6 linked regions of the Oryzias latipes genome follow. The protein of the gene in region 1 purifies or fractionates together with the protein of each later gene. This does not show direct contact. Links are inferred from orthologs where the notes say so. Each region holds a gene or a part of one and is shown in the gene's direction. Other genes may lie near its edges. The genes, in order: crkl, nedd9, rap guanine nucleotide exchange factor 1, gab1, sos1 and gab2.

Region 1 (4,045 bases):
CGTCCAATTCCAGACCATATATACATTAAGATCGAGTGAAAGGGGAAGTTAAGAAACATCAGGAAATGAAATAAGAGAAACATGCTTTTTTCTCCTTTAGAGATACTTAACAGAGAAAACGGGCTTTTTCATTTTAGCGAGTCTATATCTCAGTCTATTATAAAGCTACACATCTGCAGAGGTATCAGCCATAAAAAATATCTAAGCACTAAGATATAAGGAGTTTTGAAAGTGTAGCTAAAAATTTTTGCTTTAAAATCTCTGACAAATTCAGCAACTCCCTGAACCTGAAAGGGATTCAGCAGGTTTAGGAAATGCATGGATGGATGAATTCAGGCTAAAACCAACAAAAACAATGGTTCACTTCTATTTAGCATAAAAATAACAGTAACAAACACAAAGCACTGATGTACTTTTCTACTGAAGCTCCTGCCAGGTTTACGTCAGAGAAAAATCAGCCCAAAGGTTGCAGACCCCTGGTATACTGTGACATTTCTCACACAATATTTGAGTAGTTTGGTTTTATTAAGTTATTTTTTCTCTCTTATTTACTTCAGAATAGTAGCCTAGTCTATGATCAGTGGTGGATTTAAAACATTTCATATGGGGGGGCAGTAGACTTTAATTGGGTGGCAAATGTGATAAGCAGAGAGGAAGGCCATTACAAATGAAAGGGTTAACCATGTTTCATAGTTTTATTATTGTTATTAATAACAACACTGCATTTTTTTTTTTTGCTGAGGTGCCATTACTAACAAAGCTTGCATTAATGATTTCTTAATCTTTGTGAAAATAATAATACTGTTTCAAAAATTGGTTGGGGGCAACTGCCCCCTTCTGCCCCCCTGTAGCTCTGGCCCTGCTCATGGTGGTTAAATGGAGGAACTCCTGCTTCACACGATTCCCTTTTGTTTATTAGCCGTGCGATCATTGAAAATTTGGCCGCACATCTTTTGGTTGGTGTTTTGTCAGGTCTAAAATGGAATAGGAAGAAAAAGAAAAGAAAACTTAAACCGGCACATTAAAAAAGAAAACTTTATTGAAAATGAACAGTTTTACAGAATATATAGACAAGGGCATCCGAAACAAATTAATGAACACACTTTTTTTTTACTCACAATAATAAAAGCAAGGGACATGAAATGACAACAGTGACACATCAAAGTGGGCCCGCCAGAAACGTCATCACTCGCCCACCTTTTCCTCCGCCCACGGCCCCACCCCTTCCTCTCCTGCTCCCCTCCGTGACGTGCAGATAGAAAGCGGGACCAGCCCTCCCGTCGCCATTTTTCCCGTGTCCTGCTTGCGCTTTCTGCTGGCTGAAACAAGCGGGACCCGCTGAAATTAGAGAACGGATATCGCACGGAACCGGCACGCCTGGATCTCTCGCGGGCACTCGAGGAATGCACGCGAGAACTGGAGCGCAGCAGACACGCGGCGGCCGTCATATCATTTTTTGGTGTGAAGACGTGTTGCGAGCCGCCATTTTTCCCCCCCTCAAAAGTCTACTCCGACCCGAGAAAGGGGAGTTAAACACCCCAATTCCGTGACGTCCGCCTTTTTGTGACACCAAGAGGATACAGAGTCGGTATTTTCTTTCTCTACGCTGTCACAATTTTTGTTTTTAGTTGCAAACATGGAGATGGAACGCGCCTGAGGCCACCCTTTCCGTTCTCGTAACTGACACTGACTGAACTGAAGCTAAATAATTGTGAGTTTTCGCGGAAGGCGGAACAACGAGAGGAAGCTTTATTGATCATTTGTTGCTTCAGTTTCCGTCGATGTTCGTCCGTTTCGGGGCCGTTAGCTGCTCGTCACATTATGCTCCCGGGCTGGATCAGCAGGTCGGTCGCAGCCTGTCGCTGAAAACGTCAGGTTGATCTTTTGTTTATTTGTTTTAATCGGGTCCTCGGGCGACGAACGCCCTACCCCGCATCTGCCAAGTACTGCAGCTGGATGCGATAGGCCCGTTTGAATCTAACTTATTCAATAGTTCTCATTTTCTTCTTTATATTAACTTATTTTTTAAAGATTTTTTTTAAAATGTCCGCGTCCCGATTTGACTCGTCTGATCGCTCGGCCTGGTATTTCGGACCAGTGTCGCGACAGGAGGCGCAGAACAGGTTACAGGGGCAGAGACACGGCATGTTTCTGGTGCGAGACTCGTCCACCTGTCCCGGGGACTACGTGCTGTCGGTGTCCGAAAACTCCAAAGTATCTCACTATATCATCAACTCTTTGCCCAGTAAGAGGTTCAAGATAGGAGATCAAGAGTTCGAAAACCTCCCAGCCCTTCTGGAGTTCTACAAAATCCATTACCTGGACACAACAACGCTAATAGAACCAGCATCCAGGTACGATCGTGACGTCTTCCAGCATCCCGGTAGACGACCACTTTCTGTTCTGTTATTCCTCAGCAAATATGTCGTTGAATTAGCATGTTATTGGACAGTTCCTGTTGAGTTTGTTTTAACATTAGCTAAGATGTTCATGAATAACTAGCCTGATCTGTACACAACTGTGTGTGACATTAGGGGGTGTAACAGTTCGATTTGTATCATAATTCATAGTTGCCAACCCGATTCATAGTCGATATTGATTCATTTTGAATGATCCGATCATCCACTGACCTGAAATCAATCCACCATGACATATTTCGCCAAAATTTCAACCAGTTCGACTCAGAGATAAATACTTGGATACTCAACAGTGCAGGTGAAATCTTCCAGATTCCCTGTCTTTCTTGGAAGATAATCAGGTGTAAATTAAATATGTGTACAAACAAACAAACAAGTAAACAACAATTAATGGCAAATGTATTTTAGTCTAACAAAGTTCAGCCCACTTTTGTTTTTCCACATAAGAATAATACAAAGGCCATTTTTAGAACATTCTACCACACTGAATGGTGACGTCTTAGCTAAATTCATAGTAGTTCCTTAAATTGAACTGGAACGATGGACTGATCTTTTTTTATTTTATTTATTTATTTATTTTGCCGCTATCACGTTTGTTGTCCTCTCTCAAGGTCGTTTTTACGTTATAGAAAAATAAACAATCCAAATGGTATTTTCCTGTATCGATTTGAAGGTCATTTTGAAATAATTTAATAATGGTATAGATCAATTCTATTAACAACAGATAAATCGATCTGGAAATCATTTAAGGCAATTGATCGTTACACCCCTGTAGGGTATAGTACATTTGCGTGTGTATTCTAGTGTTTTTACACACTCTTACACACCAAGGCATTAGTGCACTTCATGCAGATGATACCTTTCTTAACCCTTTGACACCGTAACTTTAGCTGCTGTGTTGATGGTCTTGAATTACAGTAACTCTTCAACCGTTTAGGCAATTAACATATGTTCTGAACTATAAGTTGCAGCAGCTAAACAATACATCATAAGGAAGGGGGGAAATCATCTATTAGTCACACTGGAGTTTAAGTCGCACTTTTTAACATAGTACGTGACCAAGAACTAACGTTTAATCTCTAAAGGAGATCATACTAATGGAAAAGATAACAATAATGCACTTATTATCTGCACACTTCACTACAAACTGATGCATGTATAGTGCAAGCATCAGTGCATTTTTAGCCAGTTTTCTCAACTGTAGAATCTGTTGGAATTTTGTTACTTGGGTAAATGGTCCAAGAGTTACAGTAGTTTGAAGAGCATGTGTTGTTTCATGTCTATTAAAGGGTTAACAAGGAACCATTGATACACTCTTCTACGCAAAACATTTCAGTTGGGTCATATCTTTTCAGGTACCCAAGCACTATTGGTGGTCCGGTCCAGTCTATGATTGGTCCAGAGGATAACTTTGAGTACGTGCGGACACTATATGACTTCACTGGTAGTGACGCGGAGGACCTTCCATTCAAGAAAGGGGAGATCCTTATCATTTTGGAAAAGCCAGAGGAACAATGGTGGAGTGCCAAAAATAAAGATGGACGCGTCGGGATGATCCCCGTGCCCTACGTGGAGAAATTGGTACGACCCTCCCCCCATCCTGGCCAGCCTTCCCACGGCTCGCGCAA
Region 2 (3,500 bases), on another chromosome or scaffold:
GAGCAAGGTTTGTTGGAAAACGTGCAGAAATGCGGCCCTCAAGGCCTGGAGTTGCCCTTCCCTGATCTAGATTGTCGAGAGACACAGACGAACCCACGGACCCATGGGCTACAGAACTATAAGTCTGAATCTACATGAATCTGAACCAACAGAAGTATGAGTCTCAATCTAGACTTGAGTTTGGGATTCTAGGTTCTACATGAACCCTCAAACCAACACAACGATGAGTCTTAATCCATAGGAAAATGTGAACCAACATTTTCTTATAAACCATCAAACTGTCTTTCCAGATGACGTTGATGTGTTTTATGTTTATGGATCCAAACTTTCTTATAAGTTTCTTGAGTCTTGTTTTAATGTTTTTAACCGAATGTCAAACCAAAGAACCGGTCTCCTGATTTTGGCACTTTTTCATCAAACAATGAATTTGTTGTAAAACTATCAGCAGGGCAAGTTCTCCTAGTTCGTACTGGCAGGAGGTTGGACAGAGAGAGTCGGCACAGTCTCCACCTTGAATTTAGTTGCAGTATTTTCTGAAATAGATCAGGTGTATCCAGTTTTCCTGTCAGGTGCTGTATAGTCAGCCAACATAAATCCAAAGGTTAACAAAAGACAAACATGGCAGGATTTTGAGGAAACACAAACAATTGTTCAGTGTCTGTGTCAGAGGTTCAATCGTATGAGCAGGTCTGTGCACTAAGTAGAACAGGCATTGAGTCTATAATGGAATTACATTTCTGTTTTTCTGCAGTTTGTTTATGCTGGACTTTAATCCATCTGAGAGATTACAGCTGCTGGGGATTAAAAGTGAGCAGTTTCATCTGCATCCGTCACCTCACCTTGGATTTTTCTACCATGAAGACCTCTGTGGAGAGGCGGGTGTCGGTTTAGCGTCGATGCTGCTGCAGAGTCGTTGGTTGTTTGCTGAAAGATCACTTTCCTGCTCCTCATGTTGATGTACCCTTGAGCTAGTCAATTATGTCCTAATGGTGGTAAATGGAGCGTGCATGAAATGAGCCGAAGAAGGAGAATTCATGATGGTGGCTCCAGAGTTATCATCATGGTATCTGCAGATTGTGGTGATTATCTCAGCAGCCAGTCACATGTTCACTGAGAATGCTGAGCTGCCCTCGGGCTGTGATCCAAGTCTGTAAACTGCATCAAAAACTAAGCCCCTCCCCCTTTCTGCAGAATCTGATGGCCAAAGCGCTGTACGACAACGTGCCGGAGTCCCCTGAGGAGCTGGCCTTCCGGAAGGGGGACATCTTGACTGTCATTGAGCAGAACACAGGGGGACTTGAGGGTTGGTGGCTCTGCTCCCTGCACGGCCGCCAGGGCATTGCCCCCGGAAACCGCCTGAAGCTACTCATCGGACCCATGTTTGAGGCCCCGTCGTCAGCCACTCCGTCTCCCCCTCAGGGCCACCAGCAGAGAGGTGGGGCAGGGGCCCAGGGGCTCTACCAGGTCCCACCAGAGCAGCAAAATGTCTACCAGGTCCCACAAGAGCAGCAGAGTGTCTACCAGGTCCCACCGCGAGGGGGTCTCTGCGGCGAGAACACACCCAACAAGGTAGGACAGAACCTAAAATTCTTTTGCTTTTTTTGCTGAAACTTGGAATTTTTTTTGCATAAAGTGGGCAAACAAACATAGTGGGCGTAGCCTCCCTCTCTGCATTGGCCATAAAGGGAGGTGGAGTTGTGACCAGGCAGAAGCTGTGGGCCAACACTCACCACAGCGGCGTTTCCGGTGGTGGTGCGTTGGCGCCCTGTGCGCTGCAGAGCGAGTCTGAGCTGCAGAGAGGCAGCAAATGTGAGCGGCAGCTGTGGAAAAGCAAACAGCAGATCTGTTTAGTTTGGTGAAGCAGAGCCCCCTCTCTCTACTCAGGCTTCTTCAATCCTGAGAACCTTGCAAGGAAACTCCAATTTCCCAGAGTTCCTGTGTAAAGATGTCACTTTCCTTAAAGAATTTAAATGTTAAACTGGTTCAAGCTTTTGATCTATGAATGCATCATGCTAGACTCCTGGTTTGAGTCCTTCGAACGTCTCTGGTTCATGCAAGCAGACTTTCCACTGAACCAAAGAGAGACATTTTTGTGTCTTTGGAGGACACAAAAAACAACGACAGTGTGAATCTGAAGAATCAGGAGTCATAGAAAAGTTTAAAAATCTCTACTGTGTAATCTCTACTGGTGTAGCGAGATGCTGCAGGCTCTTATTTGTATGCTGGTCAGAGGACAAGTCGCTTTTTTTGTATTTTCTTCCTGTTTAGAGCTTGCTTTGAGGCAATAGTGTTGTCAAATTTTACAGGAAACTGGCTCAGATGTAAATGAATAAAAAGACTAACATTAAATTTTGGCTACAAAGTAAATAATATGTGGAATTTTCCAATCCAGATGTTTATCTGCCTCACCTGGTGCAGAAAAAATGATTTTTTTTTTGCTATTCCCTGAGTCAGCTCTAAAACTAATTATGGAGGCATGATGATCTATTGATGCTGACATCATCATGCTGTCAGCAGGTGTGTTTCCTGCTGATCAGCCTTCAGGAGATGAATGAAGTCACGTGGTAACCCGTACACCTAATGTCCAAACAGCCTTTCGTCACGGCGGTAGCAGGGCCAATCATCTACGTACTGAAGTTGTAAAAAGGGAGGTGCATGACAAACTTTCCATTTTCTGGCAGGAGCGCCTCATCTTGATTGCCCAAGATGCAACATTCAAAGAGCATGAGCTCATCTGATCTCCAGGAAGGAAATGATGGTTCTTTTTTCCATCCAGACATTTCTGACTTTTCTGAGCTTCTCTGCTCACTGTTTTTTAAGTTTCTTGATTTGATTTCTGAGTCCCATTACCGGACCCACAGTGCTCCCTCCCTCCCTCCCTCCCTCCCTCCCTCCCTCCCTCCCTCCCTCCCTCAAAAACTGGTTTCTTTTGTGACGTGATGCTCTTGGGTCCTCCAGGTCACACGTTGGCCCCCGCCTGCTTATTTTTCTTCCTGGCAGAGGTTCTAGCACACAGAGGTATCTGAGGTTTGGCACTCGCCGCCTCTCAGCTTGTTGGGTTTGATGTAACAGCCCCCCCCCCTCTGAGCTCCACTCTCTGGATGCACAGAGAGATACTCCTCCCCTTTTGGAGAGATGGGGATGGGGGGGGGGTCTGCAGCTTTGAAAGGTGTGTAATTCTAGGCTATCTGGCCACCCTTCTTTCTTTTTTTAACTGAGGCGATGACAATGACAGCCGGTCCTGTCTGCTCCCTCCAGACCCCCCCCTCTCTGACCCCTGGTCTCCTACCTCTGCTCCTTGTTTGGTCTCCTCCTCAAAGATCGGTTTGCTTATTGGTGCCATAAAGACTTTCTGCTTTAACAAAAGCTCAAGAGATAGAGGAAGTGCTGATAAGCATCCAGGGAGCGCATGGGAGGGGGGGGGGTGACAAAAGTCCGCCTCGAGGCAGGAAACCTGGATGGCTTCCTTTGACGCTGTTCTTATTGGCGTGCATCTCCTC
Region 3 (3,500 bases), about 9.4 Mb from region 1:
CATTGAACTGCATTACAACTTGTGCGTCTCCATCTACAGAGTCCTTCTAATTCCCAGAGCTTCAGCTGTCTTCCACTCACTTTAGAGCTAAGCCCTGTGGAGACGGTGGAAAGATATTCCCCCTGTGTGTGAATCAGCTGCAGCATGTTGATACAGGCCTTTGCCACACCTTAGTGTTAAGGTCTGAATGTACCCTCAGCTACTGGGAGAAACAACACCCCACTTCCTCGAGTGCTTAGACTCTCTATTGTTAGCGCAAGGGAGCTTATATTAACCTCTACCGTTGTAGCTGTGCATTTCTGCTGTCCGTGTTACCAGCTCAGTGGCCTAGTGGGAGAGCGTCCGGACAGCAAAGCTATTCTATCCAGTGGGCTAAAACTTCTCTGGTCACTTTCAGTTAAAAAAATAAAAATAAAAAAATACTTCCAAAATCAGTGTAGTAGTTGTGAGCAAGACCAAGAGCAGAGCAACCCCTACCACCCCCAACCTAACATTACTGGTGCCGAAAAATCAGAAAATGCAACAATGCATCAGAAAAATGCAACAAGAGCCTTCTAAAAACACCAGAAATACAATTTCTAATCCGAGTGGGTCTTTAAAACGTCACAGTTCACTACTTCACTACTTCACTTTCCTATTTAATCATAAATAGGAATCATAAAAAAGGGACTGAAGCATTATGTTTGTCGATAAACATAAAAAATAAGGTTACAGTTCATGCAACAACAGAGCCGAATTATCAATGTAACAATTATGCCACATACATATAATAAAAATACTACGCCTATTCACAAAAACATGCATATTTGCTAATACACACATTCATTTGGCTTGTATCTCACACTTATTTGACTTTTCAACAATAGCCGAAACGTTTTCGCAGTATTTACTACTATAAAACATTTAACCAAAATATTCCTAAAGTTTGTTCCAAAACAGAAGGACATCTCCATTTTACATTAGTTTTTTATCTGCTTAATTCAAACATAAAAATACCACTCCTATTATGATATAATGTTCCTCTCTTCTTTTAAAAATGGAATGCACTCTCAAACTACTTTTAGAGACCGCAAACAAAATTTCCAACGTTCTTACATGCACAATATCCACCACTAACAAACAGTGCTTCCTGTCTTTAATCGTCATCAGTTTTAATTGTTTCTTTATCTTGCATTAATTTTAATTTGATCCATTTCTTTTCTCCACACTTGATCTCATGTAAGTTACAGTTACTGTTTACTGAAATCATGAATGAATGCTTTCTGAAGATAATCAATCATTAATATTCACTTGATTTTGTAACTTGAAAAGAATCTAACGCATCAGAACCGGATTACAAAATCTATGTAAAACTATAAAAAGAATTGACTCGCTATTATATAAGATCACTTCTTCCCACTCCTTTTTAAGCAATAAATCAAGCTCTACTTGACTTTAGTTTATGATCACTACATTTAATCAAGCAAATGTGACTCAAGTGTGTGTGGTTTTTTTTCTATCTATGCATTTTAATTTTTTATTGTATTGACTACAATGCTTTAAATCAGTCAATCAATCTCGCCACATTTTGTCTTACAATTGTTTTAATAGCGTCCTGTTTATTGATGTCTCCCCTCTCGTCAATAGTACGGCGCTGACTTCCTGCCACAGCCGCGTCTACCAGAGTTTGGGCAACCTCATCCGTTGGGCCGACCAGGTCATGCTGGACGGCATCGACTTGGAGGACAAGGAGAACGTGGCAGCTGTCACCAGTGTCATCAAGGCAGTGCTGGATGGAGTCAAGGTGGGCCTTTCCCTGCCAGAGAGCCTGTAGGACGTGTTAACATCAATCTGTGTCGCATTCATTCAGAAGGCTGAAGCTGCCTGTGTCTGTCTCAAAAATAGGAGCTGGTGAAGCTGACCATAGAGAAACAGGAGCAGCCATCGCCCACCACCCCTAACAAACCGGCACCACCTGTTGCCCCAGCGGAGAGGTTAGAGCAAAGCATGCTGGGATGAGCAGACTCAATCAGAGCAGTTAATTAACTCGCTCTCTCTGCTTTGTGTGCACAACAGTGTGTCATCGGAGACGCATCTAATAGATCGGGAGCAGGAAGTCTCAAAGAAGGCAGCACCAGCTGCTTCTCCTGCAGAGTCTGCCCCTGAATTGGCAGATGAGGATGTGGCCCCTCCCAAACCCCCGCTTCCAGAAGCCAAAATTGCCGAGCTTAGGTGAGGATGTTGAATTGTGGAGAAGAAATATTACACATTTTCTTTGCATGTTCTCGTTTCGGAAGTCTAAACTTGTGGATTCAGGTGGTTTATCAAATGTTTCAGTTAGGAGGCAGCTTCAATGAAAGATTACCCACAGTGCTTAGGAGTCATGTCCATTTTCTGGGGGACTTTTGGAACTTTTTAGGAAATGACTGGATTCATGATTTCCCTTTTTTTTTTACTTTCTGTTGTGCTCACATGAGTTGGTCCTTCATTTATTTCGTTCACACACAAAAAAAAAACGTCTAAGAGAACGTACGCAAAATTCTGTTTAAAGACCCACACTGATCGTCTTTGATCTATTTTAGAAGCATTCCAAGCGGTCTTTTATATTTTGAATATGCTGTTTTTGGCCAAAAACAAAAAAACCCTGCTTTGTTTTCTTGAGCATAGTTTCTGCAGAGCAGAAGTAGTTCTGTCTACGTGTTCTTCTGCCAACTTAAAGCCCTTCTCAACCCCGACCTAACATCACCGGTGGAAAAAAAAAAATAACTAGCAATATCAGAGCCATTCAGATCTATACTTTGGAGCCAAATGCCAGCTCAGAGGAGAAAAACAAAGACGTACATTAATCTAGTCTGCAGGTGGATGCATCAGAATGGAGTGGAGCATGGAGTTTGTGGACTGTCCAGCGTATTTTACAGCATAGAATAAATAAGTTTTGAATAAATAAATAATCAGAACTGGGAATTTTACGCTTACTTTTATTAATATATGTCATGTTAAAAACTTCATAAACACAATTTTCATCAGAGTGGGTCTTTAATCTTTTTTCCGATCTTTATTATTTTGGCTTTATCACACTTGAGGTTTAAAATCGTGATCATTTTGTCTGTTGCTCTTCCTCCTTCCTCACTCTTTGTGATGTGTCTCTTTCATCCCTGGTCTCCCTTTGGATTCTGGGAGCAGAGCGCAGTTGAATGCTGACGCTGGCCAAAGGAGACCCTCTCAGAAGGAGAAGTATGTCAGCCCATGGGTTCATCCAGTTCCATAATAACATCCCACCCTCGAACCCCATGAAGCTTCTGAATTGGATGAAAGCTGTCGACTTGCATGTTTGCATCCCCCCTTCCAATGTTTGTGTCCTTGTTTCCTGGAGAGCCCATCATCCAATCAGGGGTGGTCGAGTGCATGACTGTGTGTGACTGACCTACGACGTGTCATTTCGCAAGTCTTCATATCGTGGTCGCTTGAGTTCGCTCCTGCCCCCCAATCCTAAAATTGACTCCCTTAGAGTGTTTCGGTTT
Region 4 (3,500 bases), on another chromosome or scaffold:
TGAAAATGACATAAATAAAGCTTTTGGTCAGCTTGTGGTCATCTGGGAATGAAACAGTCAGTGTGAGAACATGCGTATAACCTTTGGCCTCATTTTTGTGCTTACCCTGCAGGCATGGAAGAAGCGATGGTTTGTTCTTCGCAGTGGCCGTCTAACAGGCGACCCAGACGTCTTGGAGTATTACAAGAATGACCACACCAAGAAGCCTATTCGTGTAATAGATCTCAACTTGTGTGAGCAGGTATTACTCCTTGTTCCATGGGAAACACTCGATTTGTGTTGTGACAGTTTTGCTGTAGATGCAGTGGAGATACTTGCTACGTTCTTTTTCTTTTCTTTCTTAAATGAGGGTTTGTTTAAAGCCTGCTAGTCTAGCTTTATAGTTCATTCCACATTTTTTTACATTTATGTAAGCCATTATATTTGTGAAAATGAACACTTCTTGGGAACTTCAGTATAACTTGGTAGGTAAGGCTGTTTGTATAACTGGGGGTGGGGTGAAGGGTTGATTCGGACTTAACCAGAGATATAGTATCAATTAACTAAGCTAAATAATACACAATATAATCACTATGACTTAGAAATGACTCAAAAAACTAAAATTGCAACAGTAAAGCCTAATTTATTCAAAGTTTAATTGTGTGGCTAAATGTTTTATGGATGAAGAATGAGGGGGGGAAAACAGAAGGAAAACTTCCAAGAAATGTAGGGAAATCTTTACTTTTAGCCATTATAAAGTTGTTTACAGTATGATTATTATTTATATGTTCTATTCATTCAGTTACCTTTTCATGTAATATTGAGGACCAAAAGAATTGGCACACACGAAATAATTAAACATTTATTTTAAAAAAAATCAATAGTTGCATCATCCAGAACTAAGTTCATCATTCTAAAATATTTCAAGTAAAAAGAAAATAGTAAAAACAAACAGCAAAATGTATTAACCACTGGGTAGTTTTTAATTCTAATCATGTTTTCTCACTCCACTTTTTTTAAATACCATTTCTTAGCAGTGACTTAGTACCTGAACATAATGAAAAGGACTCCTAGAAAAACAAGAATAGAGTCTGAGTCAGAAAGTTTCTGGAAGATGTTATATCACAATGCCTAAAATGCACAAAAACCAGTGAGAATCTCTGACAAGTGATGGTAGTTAAAATGGTTCATGGTTACTTGGGAAGCTCTACAAAACATCATGGTAAAGTAAACAACCCCCAAAAAAATTAAAAAACTCAAGTAAAACCACTTGCATACAATTTAAAAACAATTTTGAAACAGTAAATGAAAATGATAAAATCATTATTTTAGCACGTGTTAAAAAACAGTCTGGGGGCAGTTCTGTTTTTTTTTCTTTCTGAATTAGGCTTAAGGAGGAAGTGTAAGTGTTGCCCTTTGCTATGTCCAGGAGCAGCTGATTAGCTGACCCAAGGGACTGGGAGAGAGGTGTGTGCCTGTAAGAGCTCAGAGTTCAGGGCAAGGCCACTGAAAGCATAAAAACAATTAAGTCTCTTAAACGAACAGGCAAAAAAACCAAGACTTGTTCACCAAACTGTATTTTTTGTTATTAACACAGATCAAACTCAGTCACCTTGATACTGAACCACTATGTTGTAAGACAAACTCTGTTGACGTCTCACCCTAGGTTGATGCTGGGCTGACGTTTAGCAAGAAGGATTTGGAGCACAGCTTCATTTTCGACATTAAGACCATCGACCGTGTCTTTTACCTGGTGGCTGACACTGAGGAAGAAATGAACAAGTGGGTTCGCCACATCTGTGACATCTGTGGTTTTAACCCCACTGACGATGGTAAGCGTTGCCCCATAAGTCGTTATTGTACTCCTAACAATTACAAGTCCTGTTACTGTTGTGTCAATGTTCGTTTCAGGGAAGTTGAATACTCTACAGTAAACAAAACTGATTATTGTTAAGCAGAAACAATGTTTTAACATTAGCTATTTTATTAATCAGCCAAAAAAAAACTTAAAAGTCAAAACGACTCCCTAACCATTTGTAATGTGAGTTAAAGAGCAACATGACATTTTTTTTTCCATTTAGCTTTCAGGATTTATTTATTTATGGGAAATTAATAACTCGCTGCTCTAAACTTGAAATCTCCTCAGCAACAGTTTTTTATTCAAAAGTTGTTGTTTGACAATACTTCTTACCATCCTGCACCAGGCCTTTTGTTAGTTTTTGGTAAAATGCATACACAAAGAGCACTGTAACAAGCATTTTTCGTCTTTTAATTGTCTGTAGTATAGGGCAAAAATCGTAATACAAAAGTCTTTATGTGAAAATGAATCTAAAGTTTTAAAAATCCGACTTTAGTTTGCTGGTGCTTTGAACATGTTTTTTTAAGGAGACCTATATGTCCAGTGATATGAGATCCTTGAACTCCTCCACACAGTCAAGCTCCACTTCTCCTAGGAACCCACCAGATGGATGACATTTTAGCTATTTTATTTTTATTGGTAAATATAATCATAGTTCTGTTGTTGTCCATTAACATGTATGAGTTAATGAGCCACTGCTGAATATTTCCAAGTTCTGCTATAAAAGTTGTAAATATTTTCTGTTTGCTATTAGCATAATCAAAGCCCCAAGTACTTTATAAGTCTTTCAGCCCTTTTTTTCTTCTAGTTCCAATTTCTCTTGCTCCTTAGCAGTAAAATGCATCAGCTTTTAAGTGAGGTTTGACATAAGGGACTGCACAGGTTCTTTTTAGAAGAGGACACTTGTCAAAGTTGTCAAGTGACTCATTGGTTATGGTGCTCTGTCATCCTTGCAGCAGCTATGCCTCAAGTTCAGGAAAAAAATACTAACATTGAGCTCCTCTTGAACAGAATTTTTCATATTGGCTCTTTAAAGACGCACAAGCTAACAGACTTTTCAAGGATAAAAATTGAGACATATTTTTTTTTTCAGATAGGCCTCTTTGGCTGTTATTGTAAAAGAATGTCCTTGGCTCTCTTTCTGTTTGCACTTCTCTGTGTGTGAGACCCAGCTCCCACTCCTCTGTAATGTGTGGCCACACTACACGCAGAGCGCTTCAGAGCCGAGCAGATATTAGAGGAAGGAACATTAGGAAAGCTGGAGGAATGGAAGCTCTCAGAGATGGTGTAGGTGGTATAGATTAGTACTTTCACACACATAAAAAAAGCATTCCCCCCTTTTTTTTCTCTGCAGATTCTTACACAAAACCTAAATAGCAAAAAGGAGCGAACACAAGTGCCGGAATTGACTAGAAATGTTTTTATTAACTCAAAACTGCTTTTGTTTTACAACAAAAAATAGGATTGCTTGGATTATAAGCAGTCATCTTTGTTCACATTTTAGGAGAACAACTCAAGCAGACATTTTTTTTAAAAGATTGGAAATATGGTAACTCTCCCTGTTACAAAGCACAGACCTTGGTGAGGAACTGTATTTATCTAGTGTGGGAAGAAAAACAACAAAACATACAGGCCAAATATCCCAACAATCTACAAATGCCAG
Region 5 (3,994 bases), on another chromosome or scaffold:
GTTGGTCCATCTACTTCGCCTGGACAAGTCTGGGTCTGACCGTGGCTGCCGGCTGCCTTGCTACCACCTTCCCCTTCCTGAACCGGGCCCGAGCTCTGAGGTCCAAAACTGCACGGGAATCTTCTGTGTGAGCTGTTGGTGATCAGCAGGACACCGGACTCCGAGACGTGGTCCAGACTGGGCTGCAGAGGTTTTATTTACACTGGCTTCTGGACTCTTGCTGAGGGAGAACCTCAAGAGGACTCATACCTCTGCTGCAAAGCTTCTGTGGAGCATGGCGCCCCCTTCTGGGTGTCTTCGATAGGAACAGTGTTTGTAGTGTCAGAGGAACCGCCGTCCGACCCGGCTTGGACGGGTCTTACAGTGTCTGTTAGCCAGTGACCGTTTCTCATTGTGAAATTATGTATTTTGGCTGACCCCCCCCCCCTGCGGTTTTTACACAGGTGTGATCACAGGTGAAGATCTGGTGAGTTTGAATCTTGAGGGGCGGGTTCAGGTCCGATGATGGAGCCTCCTCTCTGACTGCATGGAGGCGCAGTTTTTGGCTCCAGATGAGCCCAGATCCATTTCAGCCCCCCCATCAGGCCACAGACAGGTGGGAGACACATGGGGGGGGGGGGGGGGTCGTGATCCCCATGTCCGGTCCATTGAAAAGTCAGCAGAACTTAGATGTGTCCAAACCTTTTTCACTCAACAGCACCAGATTTTTGTAAAGGTGATCAAGACACCTCCTTAGTGCAGGTAAGAAGGTCCGAACAGGGCCCCCCATACCACTTAACCTGACCCCCACCCACACACCACTTGACCCCCCCCCATTTGTAAATAAAATACTTGAAGCCCACCTGATCTCAGAGTGGTTTCTTCTCATTGGTACGGAGTCCCTCAGTTGGTTCTGGTTCTGAGTGTTGAATCTTCAAATCAGACTCCACTCTGGAACTTTGAAGCTAATGGGGGCGGAGGGGGGTTGTTACGACCCCCCCGACCCAGATCAAGGTCAGTCCTGGTTCCGGTTCTGTTTCTAACCTTCAAAAACGTACATCAGGACAGAGTTTATTATTTGAGTTCTGACCTGCACGTGCTCCTATGTTCCGGTGGTCCGATTCCCATCAGATCAGTTTGATTCTCCGCTCTACAGCAGCCCCGCCCCTGAACGTCAGCAACTACCCACTGCGCATGCTCACTATCTCGCCATGTTCGGTTCGGTCCTCCGGAGCGCTGCAGCCGTCAGCAGGTGACCGTCCGACCTTCCGGTTCGGATCCTGGTTGAGACAGACCGGGTGTCACGCGGCCCCCACCCGCAGGCGCCGCACTGGAGCCCCCCCCCCCAGCCGCAACGGTGACATGACAGCCGCGGCGCGCCGTTTGCTCCGCTGACCCCCCCCTCCGCGCCCAGTAACCGACGCAGAGACCCCCTCCCTCCCGCCGCCGGCGAGCCTGTGCTGGGAGCGCGCAGCCCGGGAGCGCGCAGCAAGCCATGCCCTCCGCCCGGTCCAGCTAGCTCCTAGCCGCGGAGCTAACGGTTAGCCGAGGATGGTGGCGGCGGTCCCGGCGGATCCCGGACGTCGTGAGGCCCCCGGCTTCAGCCGCGCAGCTGGACCCGCAAAGCCGCGCACAGAATTCACGCCAAACGGAGCCGCGTGCGTGTGAGCATGCAGACGGGCCAGCTGCAGTTCGATTTCTGCAGCGAGGACAACGCTCCGCGGTGGAGAGGCCTGCTGGTGCCCTCCCTGGAGAAGGTAGGTGCGCACGCACGCACGCACGCACGTAGGCGGCTGCTGCAGCCAGGTGTGGCCCTGCAGGTAAGCCGGGCCGTTCCGTGACAGGACGGCTGACGTCAGATGGGGGCAGCGGGGTCTGCCTGCTCCCCGGAGGCTACAGGTTCTGGACTCTTCCAGCTCACCTGGACCACTTCAGTCCCGATCCGACCTGAACCACTTCAGTCCCGATCGGACCTGGACCACTTCAGTCCCGATCCGACCTGGACCACTTCAGTCCCGATCCGACCTGGACCACTTCAGTCCCGATCCGACCTGGACCACTTCAGTCCCGATCCGACCTGGACCACTTCAGTCCCGATCCGACCTGGACTGATGTGGTTCTCTTGTGATTTAGAAGATCAACACTCTGCAAATCTGTTCCTCACTGTCCCAGAGTTCTTTGTTGGACCTCCAAAGTTGTGGGTTGGACCGGGTAGAAGCGCTCCAGGTGGCTGACCTCTGACCCTCTGGATCCATGTTTCATAAGTTCTGCTCACCATCAGAACCTCTGACCGCTGTCATCAGGCCCGCGTCCTGAGAGATCCATTTAATGATGGCAGAGTCCAGCTGGTAGGCAGAAACTACAACAGGAACTCAAAGAATGATGACAGGTTTCTGACCCACAACACGGTCTACCACCATGTGGACCTGGTTTGTAACGCTCATGGTTTCTGTGTTGGTTCTGGTTCTACTGCCAGCGGTGCATCAGGTGGAAATGTGGGAGGTTGGATGGACTGAGGTCTCCTGGGTTCAGATGATGTTCTATTGGGTCAGGACAGATGTTTGGACTCCTGCATGTATTAATTTAATGGGATTTAAAACCCAAAAGGTTAAATTATGATTAAACGACTTTAAAACTGGACTAAAATAACTGTTTGTGATCATCAGCTGTGGTTCTGGACGGGAACATTTCCAGAGAAGGTCTTCTTAGCTGCATGAAAGGAGCAGCAGGTCTGGTCTTTACCTGGTTCCTGTGGGACCAGCATGCAGACCTGAACCCGGTGTAGAGTCTGACCGTCGCCCATAAGTGGGTTTCGGCCTGTTGGTGAACATAAATTAAAAAAAAGAAACACAGAAGAAGCTAAAACCAACAGAAACTCAGAGAGAAAGGTGTCTTTCTGTCCTCCTCCACTGGGGGGCAGCACATATCCATGAGGCCTGTGTTTCTGCTTGTTCTGATCAAACCTGCTCTGTCATTTCGTTTTGTTTAATTATTGATCAAACGTTGTGTGTGTGGCTGCACGCTGCAGGTACTGAACCAGGTACACCCCAACCTGAAGTCCCAGCAGGAGGCGCTGCAGTACATCGAAGAGCTGATCCTGCTGCTGCTCAGCATGTTGTGTCAGGCCCAGCCTCGCACAGTGCAGGACGTGGAGGTGACGCACACGTGCACACATGCACAGATACACGCATGCACACATACACAGATACACACATGCACAGAAATACATGTGCACACAAACACACGTGCACACCTGCACCCATCCACACGTGCACACGTTTGCCGTGGCCACATGCATGTTCCACCAACAAGCCCTTGAAATCTCCACCAATGATTCAGACCTACAGGCTTAGGGATGCTGAAACCTGGAAACAAACCCTCTTACCTTTAGTCACCTAAGTGAGGTCAAGCCTGCAGGTCAGGTCACTTGGTCCTCACACCTTCTGTCGGTTGTCTTAGGAGAGGGTCCAGAAGAGTTTTCCTTATCCTATCGACAAGTGGGCGATTGCAGATGCTCAGGCGGCCATCGAGAAAAGGAAGAGAAGGAACCCTCTGTCTCTGCCGGTTGATAAGATCCATCCCCTGCTGAAGGTAACCGTCCTGTCAGTGTTTTCTCCATCCTCCGCTCTTGTCCATGTTTATCAGTAACTCTGACTCTCAGACAGAATCGTCTTCAGGAAGAAGCTTTGCTGTTGGCTTCCACAGAGTAGAAAGTTTGGGGAAGCGGGCCGCGGTTTGGAGCACTGAAAAGATCTCAGGACTTTTGCATCTCTCTGTCTCCCATCATGCATTGTGTTCAGGAGGTTCTGGGCTATAAGATTGAGCACCAGGTGTCCGTGTACATGGTAGCTGTGTTGGAGTACATCTCTGCTGACATCCTAAAACTTGCAGGAAACTATGTAAGAAATATCCGCCACTATGACATCACCAAGCAGGACATCACTGTGGCCATGTGTGCGGACAAGGTACATTCTAACCCCCCACGCCGTTCTAGAAACACCTGACGAACGCTGAG
Region 6 (3,500 bases), on another chromosome or scaffold:
TACCCAACTAGTGCTCAGTCCCGTCTTTTTTTTCTCCATTTCATCTCCAGGCATGGAAGAAGCGTTGGTTCATTCTCCGCAGCGGCCGCATGAGCGGCGACCCAGACGTCCTGGAGTACTACAAGAACGACCACTCCAAGAAGCCCATAAGGGTCATCGACCTGCACTGCTGCGAGCAGGTGGACGCCGGCCTGACCTTTAAGAGGAAGGAGTTCCAGGACAGCTTTGTTTTCGACATTAAGACTTCCGATCGGACCTTTTATCTTGTTGCTGAGACTGAGGAGGAGATGAACAAGTGGGTCCGCTCCATCTGCCAGCTGTGTGGTTTTAACCAGGCGGACGACACTCACGGTAGCCACACCTGTGCCATACCTTTCATCTGTCCTCTGTTTGACCTGTTTTTGGTAACCTCATAAGCTCCTTGAATTACCATAACTCTTTGACCATTCACGCAATTAATGTAATTCCAACGGATTTGCAAGCAGCTTTTCCACTGTCGCACATCAACGAAAGCTCAGTTTCCATTGGAATTATGTTTATTGTCTGACCAGTTGAAGAGTTGCAGTAACTCAAAAAGCATCGACATCAGAACTATAGCTCCAGTATTGAAAGGTTTAACATAGATGCACCAAAGGTTCTTTATAATTTTGAGCTGTAGCCTAACACTCTACTCTTCCCCAACTTTTTCTAAGTATTTATAAAGATATTATTGATGCGTGTAGTACTTTTAATGTGGTTTTAACACCTCGACAGTCTGGTCTTCAAGTGTTGAAAATTCAGAGCGACAGTTCTGTGCAGACTTTGACAGAACTTCTGTCAAAGTCTGTGTAACAAATATGCCAGTTTCTTTATCTGTTATTTTGTATTGCAAAATATGTTGAGGTTCTTCATTATGACACTCTTTCTTCCTTTTTAAAAAAAAAAAAATTCTTGGAACAGTTGGCATCTTTATTGTCACACACTTTTAAGCAAGTGTTTGGACAAATGCTGACTCATCTTTTTACGATGTTTAAACATCCCAGGGAAACATTAAGAGAGTTTTTGGGGCTATTTTGGATTTTCTCTTCATTTATTTTGCTTAAATAGAATAGAAAGTACGTCACGCTTGCTAGAGAATATACTTGAACTCTTAATTAAGTATTTTTCCAGAAAAAAATTAGAAATGTTTTCCAGTATTGGTGCGATAGCTTCCAGACTGAAAACATAAAGATTTTTTTAAGAATTCACTCACTAACTCCGAACTCCTTCCATCCATTCATCTCCTGCATTTGCTCTATCTCTGTCGGGGTCACAGGGCTGCTGGAACCAACCAAGCTAATGTAGAGCAAAGACGGGATACATCCCGAACAAGTCACCAGTCAGTTGCAGCTCCCTTTTCCCCAAAAGCTTATATAGTGCCGGACTTTTCAGTCCCCAGGATTTGAATGCAATTCAGACACACTACTAATTTTTTCTTTTTGAATGCCAAATATGACGTCATCAATTTGACTTGCCATTGCAAATGACAAATTGTTCAAATGCAATGCATTGTGGTCTATATTTGCCACTCTAGTGGACACTGGTTTTTAGCAGAGACCTATGGGATATTTCTAGGGTACTGTGTTTCTGAATTGTGGATTTGGACACCCAGACAAAGTGGCAAACACCGTATAGCAGGGAGTGCTCCAAGCCTGGAGTTCTAGACCATGCCCCCCCCCCCCCCCCCCGCTATGTTGTGGTTTACCTTTTGCGGTTTTGTGGATATTTGTCATAGCTATTTTCCATGCCCTTTTTTTTATCTGCATGATCCTGATTGGCTGTGGACATTGTTAATCACTTTCCTCCGTGCCGCATCCCCTGTACAGGATGTTAAGTTTGCTAAACCTACAGAAATCAGATTTGCATAAAGTGTGTAGTGAGGAGTCTTACAGCCTTAAAACAGCTGTAATTCTACTTTGGGGATTTCACTTATTGTGGGTTATTTTTAGAATGGAACCACTGCAATAAACGAGGGACCGCTGTAACGCGTAACAATGGACTTCACCTCCTTGGTTAACTGGTATCTTTTGCTGTATGTAAACATAACCTGGGCCGATGACTCACTACTACAGACCTGAGCTCTTTGTCGTTGGGAGGCGTCGTGTGTGCTAACACTTTCCCTAAGCGTGTGATTATGGATCCATGTTGACAGTAAACAAAAATAGTTCACTGCATCCGCCCTTTTACCTAACGCCAGCAGTTTATCCACCTGCAAGATCCCGAGCATAAAGCCGGTGGTTGTGTAAACTCCAGAGTGTGTTCTTCTCATCCAGATTGCTTGCACGCTGCAGTCTTCCCGCCATCTGGCAGCTGGTGGACGTTAATCTTGGCGCACATGGTTGATCATCTGTAACATGCAATATGTCCAGGTGTGGACTTGAAAAACAGACACGGAGAGCGCAATGATCTTTCATCGTGATAAGATCCCCCCGGCCCATATTGAGTAATTAGCGAGGTGCTCCTGTAGATTTCAAACTGCATTAACTCAAGCTGGCAGGGTGTGGCTGCAGGAGGAGAGCTGCAGACGGAACTCGTGTCGTCCTTTTGCAGACAAATGTTTTGCTCTTTTCTCAGAGAAGCTTTGCTGTGTGTCCATCAAAAATGCATTTTCTTGAGAACTCGAGTTTCTTTTTCCTAGCATCCTTGTGTGTGTGTGTGTGTGTGAGCAAAAAACAAACAAACCACAAAGTACCACAAGTCTGGGTTTCCAAGCAGTAACACCATCTGAAGGCTCTTTTTTTAATCTGCAAACCAAAGCAAATGATTTCTCTGAGTGTACTCAGCATGATCAGAAAAATGTTAGAAATGCACGTCTTTGGGAGAAGATCGTTTAAAATAAACCTGTTGTTTTCTAAGAAATACAACTGTTAGCTGTTTGTTGGTTTGATTAGAGAGAAGAAGAAAAAAAATCTGTGTTTCGTCTTTCTGGTTTCCGTTCCATTTTCTGGTTGTAAATAGCCCCACAAACTGGAGACACTTTTTAAGTGCAACCCAAGTAACATGCAAGGTCTGCCTTGTGAGACCTGCTTTGCTCAAAAAAACTTTTAAGTTCAGTTTTCACCATGGATTGAATGGACTTTTAATGCAGATGATGTCTGCTTTTCATCTGCCTGCTCGTCTTTGGTGTTGGTGTTTTCAATGGTGATGGAAAGTGACGCTCATCCTCTTTCATGTTTATGTTCCCGCTGCTTTATTGTGATTTTTGTACATTACAGGAAAGCAAAACCAACCGAATGACTGAAACTTAACTGTCTGTGTTAATGCAAACAGACCCTGCAATGATCTGTATAGTGGAAGGTTTTCTTTACCTTACAATCACCCCACGCCTTTTTGATTTGAGCAAACAATACTTAATGTTAGAACTTTCTGGTCAATTGTCAAACACAAGAAGTCATTACTGTGTTTTTTGGGCATGCCTAAAAAAAGAAGTTCCAGTCACATAGCTTAAATGTATGTATCACTGCACTGGCTTCTTTAAAACA

What was found.
Region 2: the proteins of crkl (region 1) and nedd9 purify together in Homo sapiens (affinity purification with western blotting; 4 studies listed by BioGRID). This does not show direct contact. The link is inferred for Oryzias latipes from reciprocal best matches to the Homo sapiens genes CRKL and NEDD9.
Region 3: the proteins of crkl (region 1) and rap guanine nucleotide exchange factor 1 purify together in Homo sapiens (affinity purification with western blotting; 16 studies listed by BioGRID and IntAct, with this or other methods). This does not show direct contact. The link is inferred for Oryzias latipes from reciprocal best matches to the Homo sapiens genes CRKL and RAPGEF1.
Region 4: the proteins of crkl (region 1) and gab1 purify together in Homo sapiens (affinity purification with western blotting; 3 studies listed by BioGRID and IntAct, with this or other methods). This does not show direct contact. The link is inferred for Oryzias latipes from reciprocal best matches to the Homo sapiens genes CRKL and GAB1.
Region 5: the proteins of crkl (region 1) and sos1 purify together in Homo sapiens (affinity purification with mass spectrometry; 3 studies listed by BioGRID and IntAct, with this or other methods). This does not show direct contact. The link is inferred for Oryzias latipes from reciprocal best matches to the Homo sapiens genes CRKL and SOS1.
Region 6: the proteins of crkl (region 1) and gab2 purify together in Homo sapiens (affinity purification with western blotting; 3 studies listed by BioGRID). This does not show direct contact. The link is inferred for Oryzias latipes from reciprocal best matches to the Homo sapiens genes CRKL and GAB2.

What each region holds. Positions count from the first base shown.
Region 1 is NC_019870.2:17,501,609-17,505,653, forward strand, and holds the start of crkl (crk-like protein), read left to right. Parts: upstream 1-1,245; 5' UTR 1,246-2,043; coding exon 2,044-2,354; intron 2,355-3,772; coding exon 3,773-4,045. UniProt on the Homo sapiens protein: May mediate the transduction of intracellular signals.
Region 2 is NC_019869.2:19,397,688-19,401,187, reverse strand, and holds part of nedd9 (enhancer of filamentation 1), read left to right. Parts: intron 1-1,191; coding exon 1,192-1,569; intron 1,570-3,500. UniProt on the Homo sapiens protein: Scaffolding protein which plays a central coordinating role for tyrosine-kinase-based signaling related to cell adhesion. As a focal adhesion protein, plays a role in embryonic fibroblast migration.
Region 3 is NC_019870.2:8,075,448-8,078,947, forward strand, and holds part of rap guanine nucleotide exchange factor 1, read left to right. Parts: intron 1-1,626; coding exon 1,627-1,783; intron 1,784-1,884; coding exon 1,885-1,973; intron 1,974-2,055; coding exon 2,056-2,211; intron 2,212-3,162; coding exon 3,163-3,213; intron 3,214-3,500. UniProt on the Homo sapiens protein: Guanine nucleotide-releasing protein that binds to SH3 domain of CRK and GRB2/ASH. Transduces signals from CRK to activate RAS. Involved in cell branching and adhesion mediated by BCAR1-CRK-RAPGEF1 signaling and activation of RAP1.
Region 4 is NC_019859.2:18,118,041-18,121,540, reverse strand, and holds part of gab1 (GRB2-associated-binding protein 1), read left to right. Parts: intron 1-112; coding exon 113-241; intron 242-1,645; coding exon 1,646-1,811; intron 1,812-3,500. UniProt on the Homo sapiens protein: Adapter protein that plays a role in intracellular signaling cascades triggered by activated receptor-type kinases. Plays a role in FGFR1 signaling. Probably involved in signaling by the epidermal growth factor receptor (EGFR) and the insulin receptor (INSR).
Region 5 is NC_019859.2:117,276-121,269, reverse strand, and holds the start of sos1 (son of sevenless homolog 1), read left to right. Parts: upstream 1-1,194; 5' UTR 1,195-1,649; coding exon 1,650-1,736; intron 1,737-3,007; coding exon 3,008-3,133; intron 3,134-3,438; coding exon 3,439-3,570; intron 3,571-3,779; coding exon 3,780-3,944; intron 3,945-3,994. Other genes in the region: tmem178a (transmembrane protein 178A), read left to right, coding at 1-131.
Region 6 is NC_019871.2:6,604,121-6,607,620, reverse strand, and holds part of gab2 (GRB2-associated-binding protein 2), read left to right. Parts: intron 1-50; coding exon 51-351; intron 352-3,500. UniProt on the Homo sapiens protein: Adapter protein which acts downstream of several membrane receptors including cytokine, antigen, hormone, cell matrix and growth factor receptors to regulate multiple signaling pathways.